Arabidopsis thaliana: one gene and its partner. The protein of the gene in region 2 interacts with the protein of the main gene of each other region in a pairwise test. Each region holds a gene or a part of one and is shown on either strand. Other genes may lie near its edges.

The links.
Region 1: the proteins of UKL2 (region 2) and AT1G63480 interact in a two-hybrid assay, tested with the Arabidopsis thaliana proteins (one large-scale study listed by BioGRID).

Annotation. Positions count from the first base shown.
Region 1 is NC_003070.9:23,538,844-23,543,874, forward strand, and holds AT1G63480 (AT hook motif DNA-binding family protein), read right to left. Parts: upstream 3,391-5,031; 5' UTR 2,843-3,390; coding exon 2,398-2,842; intron 1,991-2,397; coding exon 1,923-1,990; intron 1,838-1,922; coding exon 1,706-1,837; intron 1,624-1,705; coding exon 1,465-1,623; intron 1,311-1,464; coding exon 1,029-1,310; 3' UTR 714-1,028; downstream 1-713. Other genes in the region: AT1G63470 (AT hook motif DNA-binding family protein), read right to left, coding at 1-20. UniProt on the Arabidopsis thaliana protein: Transcription factor that specifically binds AT-rich DNA sequences related to the nuclear matrix attachment regions (MARs).
Region 2 is NC_003074.8:10,038,565-10,045,018, reverse strand, and holds UKL2 (uridine kinase-like 2), read left to right. Parts: upstream 1-1,952; 5' UTR 1,953-2,101; coding exon 2,102-2,297; intron 2,298-2,558; coding exon 2,559-2,650; intron 2,651-2,721; coding exon 2,722-2,791; intron 2,792-2,869; coding exon 2,870-2,988; intron 2,989-3,122; coding exon 3,123-3,219; intron 3,220-3,547; coding exon 3,548-3,627; intron 3,628-3,896; coding exon 3,897-4,091; intron 4,092-4,178; coding exon 4,179-4,262; intron 4,263-4,346; coding exon 4,347-4,407; intron 4,408-4,591; coding exon 4,592-4,652; intron 4,653-4,873; coding exon 4,874-4,967; intron 4,968-5,052; coding exon 5,053-5,125; intron 5,126-5,211; coding exon 5,212-5,294; intron 5,295-5,368; coding exon 5,369-5,515; 3' UTR 5,516-5,821; downstream 5,822-6,454. Other genes in the region: AT3G27200 (Cupredoxin superfamily protein), read left to right, coding at 679-844, 923-1,281. UniProt on the Arabidopsis thaliana protein: Involved in the pyrimidine salvage pathway. Phosphorylates uridine to uridine monophosphate (UMP). Phosphorylates cytidine to cytidine monophosphate (CMP).

The DNA of each region.
Region 1 (5,031 bases), on a different chromosome or scaffold from region 2:
ATAGCTTCTCTCCCATCCATGCATTTAAAACCCTAAATTACAATTCTTTAAGAATCTAAGAGATTTTTTAAAAAAGGAAACTTTTTTGAAGAACAAATTTATCTACCACCCAGAAATCGTAAACCCTAATAACCCAAAGAGTGAAAAGAACAACAATGGCGGCTTTTATATACCCAGTAATCAAAGTCGGGTTATTTTCAGCTGTGAGCTTAAGATCCAAACTGTTTTTATGAAACCTAGAAAAGAAAAAGAAGCTAAATGTTGAGTTCACTTAGAACTCAAAAAGAAAGTAAAATTGCAGATTTGAAATGAAGACAACAAGCAAAAGTAGCTACTACTACTGTTACAGTCTCTCTGGTAGAGAAAGCAAATCTCAGAAAAAAAAAAGGAAAGAAAAAAAAAGAAGAGAAAGGAAGTGAAGACCATTGTTTCTATTTATATACTATTTCTTTAATTAATTTTGTCAAAAAAAAATATTCAATTGGTTTACAAAAAAAATAAATTGGGTTGTTTAAGAATTTTTTTTATTAAAAAGGATATAGACTTTCTTCAATGGTTTATAACAAAATCTAATGTCTCATTAGATTTCTGACTGAAAAAGAAATTTAAGTCAATTTGAGGATATATATTCATTAATATTTAATGCTTTTCATGTATAAATTATGAGCTTGTCATCTTCCTATAAATTAAGGATCCTAAATCTTGTGTGTGTTGAATTACACATTGTCTACCAAATAAGAGGAATCAAGTTTACTAAATATGTTAAAGAACCTGAAAGAAAAATAGTGAACTAGTAAAGAAACCAAGTTCTTGATGACCACAATGAGATCATAAAAGAGTTAAAAAAATCTCCTAAAATAGCATGAAAGTGGGAGGGTTCTGTTACATTAACAATGTTAGAAGGAGCTGAGAGATCTAGTATCAATCCTTAAATGTCTGATTTCAACATTCCCAGAGAGAAATCTACAATAACATATGTACAGCAATCACATTTTGTATGCTGCTGCTTCAAAGACTAATAGTGTATATCATCCACGAGTCAAATCAAAATCAGTGAGTGGGTTTCTGCAAATGTCAAGTGATCTGCCAGAGCCTGAGCCTGAACCGGGCCACCCCCTTATTCCCTGAGAAGAGAAGTTCTGTGGCGTCTGCTGACCCGCAGATGCTGCTGGTTCAGCTGCACTACCCGGTGTGGTCTCCATTTCACTATTGTTGTCCTCTTCATTTGGTTCCTTTTCTTGTCTGATGGTCTTGTTATTGTTATTATGAGTCTTTGCCCTTGCTCCGTATACAAAACTACATGCCACCACCTGAATAACAAACAAGTTTTTCAAACACTACCACATGATATCTTGAAGAGGAAAGAAAGTGACAGCACAAACATATCAAAGGCTAACATTCGTAGTTAGTTTCGCCTCGTTTTAGCTTCACTTTACAACCATTAAGAAGAAGAATTTAATATACCTGAACAAGGTTGGCTGCGATAAGCATGTCAACTCCACCGGCAATAATACTACCATCGGGACGAGAAAGAGAGACACTCAATCCGCCTGTTCGACTTCTGGATCCACCTTCTTCATTCACCAAATAAGATCCACCAAAACTTATAATCTCAAAAGGTCCCTAAGAAACACAGAAAGAGGATTAAATAAGAAATCTTTTCAGGTTTTTCTTTTTCGATTAACTGAATGAACGACTTTGAAACCTCGTATGTTAAGTGACGATCGGTTGAACCGGGTTTGCACAGAGTGACTGAAGAAATGGTTCCAGTGCCTGACATTATACAAAGAGCCCGAGGTCTTTGTTGTGAAAATGACAAAACTTTCGCAGCAATGTCCTGCAAAGAAAAATAAAAGGAAATTGATACAATGAAAAGCTGCATAAATGATCATTAATATATAAAGGAGTTTTGGTCAGTTTACTTCTCCTGCTCCAATGCTGATCACATGAGGTGCAAAAGCAAGTCCAGCTGAAGTATTCATCCACTCACCTAAAGAAATTATCAGAGTCAAGAGTTTGCTATTACTTAAAGTTTGATTAATCACATTATGATGACCAATTACTTAAACATGAATGGATTAGTAAGATTACTCTTTCACAGCTTAAAAACCTAAATCAATAACTTAAATCAAGAAGTCGATTTCGTCCACATCTACTAATAACCAATTACTCCTCTCACCTAGCATTGTACCACACATAGATCCGTCAAACTAATAGCCAACAATCAATATTGAGTATCAGTAACGACAAAGTAACAAAACCTAACTTAACTATAGAATCATTCAAAGCTTCTAGCATCCATAAGATTCAAGCTCATGTCCTTCAAGACTAGCTAACAGAGCTAAAGCAAAAACTTAACTTGACAAAGTACACAGAATAGAAAACTCGAGATCTCACCAAGATTAGCCAAGCGTTGCTTCCTTCCAGTTCCAGGAGGTCGACCTCTGGCCCGTTTAGGTTCATTAGGATCAGACATTGGAGAAGAGTCCCTAGACTTATTACTAACCATCGGTTCTCCATACTTTCTTGGCCGTCCACGTTTCCTCTTAACCATCGGTTCCTCTGGTGGTGGCGGTGGCGGTGGCGGTTGCACATCAGCATCAGAAGCAGAGGAGACCACTCCCATGTGAATGGTGTGTCCAAAATCCGAGAAAGGAGGTCCTGGATTGTTAGCCTGAGGGTGATGAATGTTAGGGTTAGACATTGGCCTCAATCCCGTATGTGGCGGCGGCGCGTGAAGCCCACTCGCGACTTGGGAAGGTGCGAGATTAGTAAAGGCTCCTCTTTGAAGATAGTACTGAGAATGCGAGCCTGGAAATGCCATTGCTTCTCTTCCGTCCATGCATTAAAAACTCCAAAATTACAAGTCTTTAACAGAAATAAGAGATTTTTAAATTGATTAACAAAAAAAGGAAACAAATTTATCTAATCTAATACCCAGAAATCATAAACCCTAATTCCCAAAAGTAGTAAAGAGAACAACAATGGCGGTTTTAAAATTACCCAGTAATCAAAGTCGGGTTATTTATACTGTGAGCTCAAAATCCAATTTGTTCTTATGAACCCTAAAAAAAAAAAGCTAAAATCTGAGTTCACTTATAGAACTCGAAAAAGTACGATTGCAGATTTGAAATTAAGAAAACAGAGGAAAGTAGCTTCTCCTACTGTTACAGTCTTGCAGAGAAAAAAATCAAATCTCCCCCTAAGAGAAAAGCTAGATTTGATTGAGAGAAATCTAGGGTTTCTGAGAAGGAGAACACAATGTATATCAGAGGAGAGACAAAGGAAGAAGACAGATGAGACAATTCAGGGAGAAGAAGAGAAAAAGAGAGAGAGAGAGAGAGAGAGAGAGAGAGAGAGAGAGAGAGAGAGAGAGAGAGAGAGAGAGAGAGAGAGACTAACAGTTTAATGATTCTGATTTATACTTTTAATATTGTGAACTTTTGAATTGAGAGAGGTCTTTCTCTGAAAGTTAGAAGAAAACTAAAGAAGCTGAACGAGAGTGACGACCATTGTTTTTCGTATTTATATATCTCTTTAATTGATTTGTTATTTAATTTTGTGAAAGATAAATTCAATTGAGAGAAAGATTATTATGAAAGATTTAAGCATAGTTTGTTTAAGAATATTTGTTTAAGAATATTTAATGTATTAGTTTGTTTAAGAATATTTAATGTATTAGTTTGTTTAAGAATAGTTTATTTAAAGTATTAGTTTGTTTAAGAATATTTGTTTTTAATAAAAAGGATAGACTTTCTTTGATGATTATTACAAATCTAATATCTCGTTAGATCTTTGACTGAAACCGAAATTTATTAGTCATTGAGAGACAATTATGTGCTTTATTCTCATAAACATTGCTACCAATAAAGATTTAAAAAAAAAATCTTTTCTAACATATTCTAAAGAAAACAGTTGACATTTTAGATTATTATATCATGTAATATATTATTTCTTCTGTGACACACTTTTTCCGTTTTTATATGGAATCATGTTTAGTGGGTAAAATATGTATGCAAAATTTGAAGATAAATTCAATATATATATATGAAAAGTATAATAATGTTTCTAAAGAAACTAAAAAAATAAAGTGAAAATAAAAAGAGAAAAATGTACAAACCTTTTAAAATAATCAAAAATATATTATTCTTGCTAGAAAAAAGAAAAAACTACAACATGATTATTTCAATTTTGGAGCTATTTTAGTGGCTTTACAAACTTTCTACACCTCAACTAATCATGTCTATATATCTTCAATAGTTATCTGTAATTTTTTTTGGTCAACTGCTCTATAATATATTTATAATTTATTTTTAATTAGTATAGATAATTATAAGATTATTTCAAAATATATCTAAAAATTTTAGGTTTTCTTATAAATATATAATCTTGAAATTTCATTCAGTTACACTTTGACAAGAGGCAAGACTAGTATGAAATGACTTCATATCATCTTAATTCAAATTAAGATTTTAAAAGAACAAAAAAAATCAAATCTTGTTGTAAAAAGTTTGATCTTGATTAGAAATATCCAAATATGAGAGAGATGTGTTGTTGACTAAAGGATAGGAAAGAGAATGGGGACACACTTGAATCTCTTCTCTCTCACATGTCTAACTCACTTTGCTATTTCTTTCTTTGCTTCGGACAGTGAGCCCTCTCTCCTAACTTTATTTGTTTTCCATTTTTATATTCCCCTTTTTCTCTTTTACTTTTTATCTAAAATTCTTTTTTTTTATTTTCTTTTAAAAGTTTTGAAAGTGATTTATTAATATATATATATATATATATACGTACATATATTTTGTTTCCACCTAATTTGAAAGTTTGTATGATGCATTTAATATCCGGTGGCTAAAGTACCCGACCAAAAAATCCAAATAGTCAAAATTTGGTGCTAGATATAAATAAAAGTTTTCTAGAGATATATCATATATTATATATTTTGGGTTTAATTAGATTTGTTTTGCTACTCCATTATGAATAATCTTTACATTAATTTGTTTTGTTTAATGTCAACAATATTACATT
Region 2 (6,454 bases):
AGAATTCCCAAAAATTTATCCAACCACACAAATTTTTTTTTATGTCCATTCTGCCCGTTTTTATTTATTTATTAATATTAAATATTTTCTACCGTTTTTAAGTTTGAGAGAGAAAATAAAGAGTAAACAATGAAAGTAGAAAAACAAGAAAAACTACGACTAAAAGAACTACGAATACGAGATAACACGATAAGAAAACAAAACGAAGCAACTAACAAAGGTCTCAAGAGGAAACACCGGTTCCGAACTGTAAAGCTCTGTCATTTTTTTGTCTAGGTTTTATTTTATTTTCCCCGATTCCGCAGTTACCATTCAAAAGCCTCGATGGAATGGAAGGATTAAAGAAAAACAAAATAGGAAGTAGAAGCTTTAGGTGAAAGTTAGGTAATAAAGAATCTTGCTTGTTGTATGCTTCTTGTCTTCTTAACTTATTTGGCAATTCTGATGCATACATTCTACTTGAACACACATAAACTAACAAAAATAACCATAACACTAATTTTTAAAGATTCTACAACCACTAAAGATCTTAGCTTCCATTCAACTCCAAGCTTCGTCTTTTTTTTCTTCTTCCTAGATCTCTTACGCAACTAATGTCCATGCATTCCCCCTATATATACACGAGCTAGCAGAAGTTTAACTTGAATATATCAAAACCGAGTTCAATTCACTAAACCAATGAAAATGCAAGCAGTTCTTGTTATCTTGGTTTTCTCCGGTTTACTTTCGGTTAAGACAGCGTTAGCAGCACGACATGTGATCGGCGGGAGCCAAGGCTGGGAACAATCCGTTGATTTTGATTCTTGGTCTTCTGATCAATCTTTCAAAGTCGGCGACCAAATCGGTACGTTTCTCTCTACCCTCAATTTCATAATCAAATCGACCGGTTTAATACTAACCAATCTTTTTTGTTTCTTGTTAGTTTTTAAGTATTCAGAACTACACAGCGTTGTGGAGCTAGGAAGTGAAACAGCATACAAGAGTTGTGACCTGGGAACATCAGTTAATTCCTTAAGCTCTGGAAACGACGTCGTTAAGCTTTCTAAAACCGGTACTCGTTACTTCGCTTGTGGAACCGTTGGGCATTGCGAACAAGGCATGAAGATTAAAGTCAACGTTGTCTCTTCTGACTCCAAATCCGCTTCCTCTCCTTCAGGTTCAGGTTCGGGTTCGGATTCAGGGTCGGGTTCTGGATCTAGTTCAGGTCATGGGTTACGTGCTTCCACTGGATACATGTTCGTTGTTGGATCGTTGGTTATTGGTCTTATTTGGGCTTACTAATAATTGTTTAGGGCTTTTTTGTAATGTATCGAATATATTTGGTGGGGAGAGAATAAATATTTTTGGAATTATTAATTCGTACTTGTTGTTGTATTTTATATAGTTCGGATATTTGCATTTCTGATCTAATTTTCTATATATATCTTGTTTTTCATGTTTTCTCAACCGCTACTCCACTTGATTGGTTGAGTTGGAATATTCTTTTTTTATACTTTCTCATATGACCAATCATTTTTTTTAATTGTCATCAACATTATTAATTTGAATTAGTTTGTTATTTTCTTTATCTATATAAAAAACATTATTAATTTGTTTCATTCCATTGTACACAATTTTAGCGTCGTATATAAAAAATAACATTTCAGCTTCAGCACATCAAATAAACATTTTTATTTATTAAATAAAACATTTCTAATCTAAATAAGACTTGGATAGTTTCTGTTAATACTTTTTTTTTGTCATCGTAAATTTTATTAAAAACAAAATTGTCCATAGAAATTAAGCAGACAATAAATGTTGAAATTTTGGATTTAGATTTAGCGGTTTTGATTGATATAAATCTACTTTTAATATTTTTTTTTGTCATGATCTTATTTTTATTTTGAAACAGAAAATATTATTTTAATTTAAGGAGTATTTAATTCGTTCGAGTTTCTTCTCCCAAAAAAAACATTTTAAAAAAGACGGAGGGAGCGAGAGAGAGAGAGGACAAGTGGGTTGCTGAATTGTGCAGAAATCGTCGTCACTGATCACTTCCGATTCCTTTTTTTTCTCCTTAAATCGCAATTTTCACTCTCCTTTACCTTCGCCGAGAAACTCAATGCCAGAAGATTCAACGGCGATTGACTATGTCATGGAGAAGGCATCGGGGCCTCACTTCTCCGGTCTTCGCCTTGACGGTCTTCTTTCTTCTCCGTCGAAATCCTCCGTCTCTTCTCCTTCTCACTTCCGTTTGAGTAATTCTTCTTTTTCGGCTACCGACGATCCCGCCGCTCCTCATCAGCCCTTCGTTATCGGTTATTTTTCGATTCTCGCTCTTTGATTCTTGCTTTAGTCAACAATCGAACTTTCTCTTATTCCGATCATCGTGTATCATCTCTCAGTTTCTTGAAATTGGTGCTTCTACTGCATTTTATAGGGTTTTATCTTAGGGTTTTAGCTGTACGAATTTTCCGGTAGCATTTGTGCTTCCAAGATTAGAGAAATCTGGATCAAAATCAGTTTCTAGGGTTTAATCCTTTGATTTACTTGAACATGTTTTCCTTTGACTTGTGTAGGAGTTACTGGTGGTACAGCTTCTGGTAAGACGACGGTATGTGACATGATAATCCAGCAACTTCATGATCATCGCATTGTTTTAGTTAACCAGGTTAGATTCTGTACCCGTCCCTGTTCTCAGTATTTTTGTGTGTGGTACTCTGATGCTGTTTTGTTGATTAGGATTCGTTTTACCGTGGTTTGACATCTGAAGAACTTGAGCATGTACAAGAATACAATTTTGATCATCCTGGTGAGTTGTTCTTTTGATTTGTGAACATTGATGTTTTGGTGAAATTTTTTAACGTCTCTTGTTTTTCATTTTCTGCAGATGCCTTTGACACTGAGCAGCTTTTGCATTGCGTTGACATACTCAAGAGTGGGCAACCCTATCAAATTCCAATTTATGACTTCAAGACCCATCAACGTAAAGTAGATGCTTTTCGCCAGGTGCATGGATCTTCTTTTGTTTGACCTCCTTATATGGTTCTTTTCTGCGGTTTTATGGGTTTAGCTTGTAATGTCATGTGGCTGAATCTTCGGATTATCGTTTCTTAAAACCAATCAGTTGTCGCTTTGGTCAGGTCAATGCTTGTGATGTCATCATTTTGGAAGGGATTCTAGTTTTTCATGACTCACGAGTTCGGGACCTAATGAATATGAAGATCTTCGTTGACACAGGTTAACTAGCTGCAGTATCTTGTCTCTCCTTCTTTTTGGTTCTCCTTTATAATATGACCTTATTTGTTCTGCACAACTATAAATGATATAGTGACAATTTTATAGTTTGATGGAAACTGTCCACTTTCTGTTCTGGCTGATGCCTGATGGGGCCTTTGATGGATTAACTCACTAGTCCCACTTTCGCCATTTCATCACTTGTTGACCATTAAGGACTGAATGAATTCCCTTTGGAGCTATATACTTAGCAAACTTTGAATCTTTCTGAAATGTCAATAATCCTCTTTGAAGTTAAAAAGTTCTCATCTTAGCCATTTATTGGTTCCAGATGCTGATGTGAGGCTTGCTCGCAGAATCAGGCGTGACACGGTTGAGAGGGGTAGGGATGTTGACTCTGTGCTTGAACAGGTTAGTCTTTGTTTCAGGTTTTGGGGTAAAATTTGTCACCAAGGTTCACCTATCTTAGTTAGTGCTCTAATGTGTGAATACAAGACAAAGAATTATAGCAGCCTATGGGTTTTTGTGAAATACTGAACAATTCAATGTCTCTCTTGTTGTTCGAGTGACTCTAGCTTAATTCCGCCCTTTGAACTATTCTTCTTTATAACAGTGTTTCTTTCTGAGATTCCTTTATTTTCCACCTTATCTTGTTTTGAGAGTGTTATGTTCATCTGCAGTATGCAAAGTTTGTGAAGCCTGCGTTTGATGATTTTGTGCTCCCCTCAAAGAAATATGCTGATGTGATCATTCCACGAGGAGGTGACAATCACGTTGCAGTTGATTTGATTGTGCAACATATCCACACAAAACTTGGGCAACATGATCTCTGCAAAATCTACCCAAATGTTTTTGTTATTGAAACAACATTTCAGGTAATTTCTGCCTTTTCCTGCTGTTTGATGCTTGATTCAGATGGTAAGGCTTAAAACCATATTCTCACTTTAAGATCATAACTGCAGATAAGAGGCATGCACACTCTCATTCGAGAGAAGGACATATCAAAACATGACTTCGTGTTTTACTCAGATCGCCTCATTCGTTTGGTACTCTTTTTACTCGTGTCATCCCTTTAAATGTTACTCAGCTTCCACGCCTTGTCATTTCAATTGTTGATGCCTTTATTTCAGGTTGTGGAGCATGGTCTTGGCCATTTGCCTTTCACTGAGAAACAAGTAGTTACTCCGACAGGTAGAAGAGGAGATAGATGGCTTGAGCTGTGACTATACTTTATTAAAATAAAATAGTGGTAGTCATTGTGTCTGAAAATCTAGACCAACTTGTTCTTGAGATCCATTAACGTATCATGCTTTGGCATTTGCTGATATATTGCATGCATCCACACGATCATAATTTCTTATCTTCTACAAATCAGGATCTGTGTATAGCGGTGTTGATTTCTGCAAGAAACTCTGTGGGGTCTCAGTCATTCGAAGGTGAGCGTTAAAAGGTATTACGTGTTTTATAGTTCTTAATAGATAGAGACTGGAGCTGTTCAGTTTTCCATTTTGTTTATAATAGATAGTAACATTGGAAGAATACATTGATTGTTTGCGCATGTGGAAGCATACATTGATTGTTTGCTCATGTGTTGAGTGAGTTCCTTTTTTAATTCTTTTCTCTTGCCTAAAGTTTTCTGTTTTGTACGCTTTGTTAGTGGTGAAAGCATGGAAAACGCATTGCGCGCATGTTGCAAAGGGATTAAGATAGGGAAGATTCTCATCCATCGTGACGGAGACAATGGAATGCAGGTCTGTTAATGTTTTGTACTCTTAACAGTTTACAAGGTTCACGTCTCCTTTCTAAAACTCAGAAACTTCCTCGCATATGAATCAGCTTATATACGAGAAGCTTCCAAGTGATATCTCCGAGCGTCATGTCCTGCTATTAGATCCTGTTTTAGGCACAGGTAATTTCAGTTATTTCTATTTCTTTTTCTTCTGCTTTGAAGTATATTTTTTTCTGAATCTTTCCACTTTGGATGATATCTTGAAGGTAACTCTGCAAATCAGGCGATAGAACTACTCATACAGAAAGGAGTACCTGAAGCCCACATTATATTCCTCAATCTTATCTCAGTGAGTGTTAAATCAACCAATGTTCTCTCTCTATCTCTCAGTCAAAAACTTACAATCGATTCTGCATCGTGCAGGCGCCAGAAGGAATCCATTGCGTCTGCAAACGGTTCCCAAAGTTGAAGATTGTGACGTCAGAAATCGATCAGTGTCTGAACGAAGAGTTCAGGGTTATACCAGGCTTGGGTGAGTTTGGTGATCGCTACTTTGGTACCGACGAGTAGAAGAAGTACCAAAGTGTTTGTCAATGGTTATTGTGCTTGTGTGTGAATGGAAGTGTTTTACTTTGTCTAAAGAATCTTCACGGGCTTTGTTTTTTTTTAGTTCCCTCTGCTTGGAAGCTTCTCGCTTACTAATTACTAGAATTGAAAACTCATTTCAAGATTCTTGGCTTAAGCAGTTCATATCCGACGACTTTTTCGTCAACAACACTTTTAAGCATCCCTTATTCATGACAACTTTTAAGAACTTTGATAGATTTCATAAATTTTTAATTTTACACTTATTAAAGTCTTTTGTTTAGTAACAATTATACCATGGGCTAACAATCGGTCCATGAATCTTATTATATAAAGTACGGTTTTGAAAGTTAGTAACTCACGAGATCATGATACGTGTCAGTGAATATATAATTAAAATTAACTATATAATTAAATAAATTTATATTTGAGCTTTATAAAAGTAAATATATATATATATATATATATATATATATATATTATGGGAACCATTGAAAAGCAAACTTTTAATTTTACTTGAATTATATGTTTTTAAATAAAAGTATTATTAAAAAGAAAAATAACAAAATGTTGTTTAATTTTACGAGACGTGGTTATATAGTGGAACGGGCATGTGTCGATATTAATACGAGGCCGTATACCACAGGTGAAATTCTAGATTTTAACAATCAAAATACAATAATACAATTTTTAATACAAAACAAAACAAATACAACTTAAAATTTATTTATTTATATTTATAACAGAATTGATCAGTGGTATACCGTTTCTGACCTCTAAATGCAAAAAAGAAAAACAGTTTATTTTTCTAATAAATCAAAACTGAATGAACTTTATGTTATCGTTCCTACAAACCTCAAATATAGTAATTATACACTAAATAATATATATATCTAAGGATTGCATATTTTAAAAATATGTATA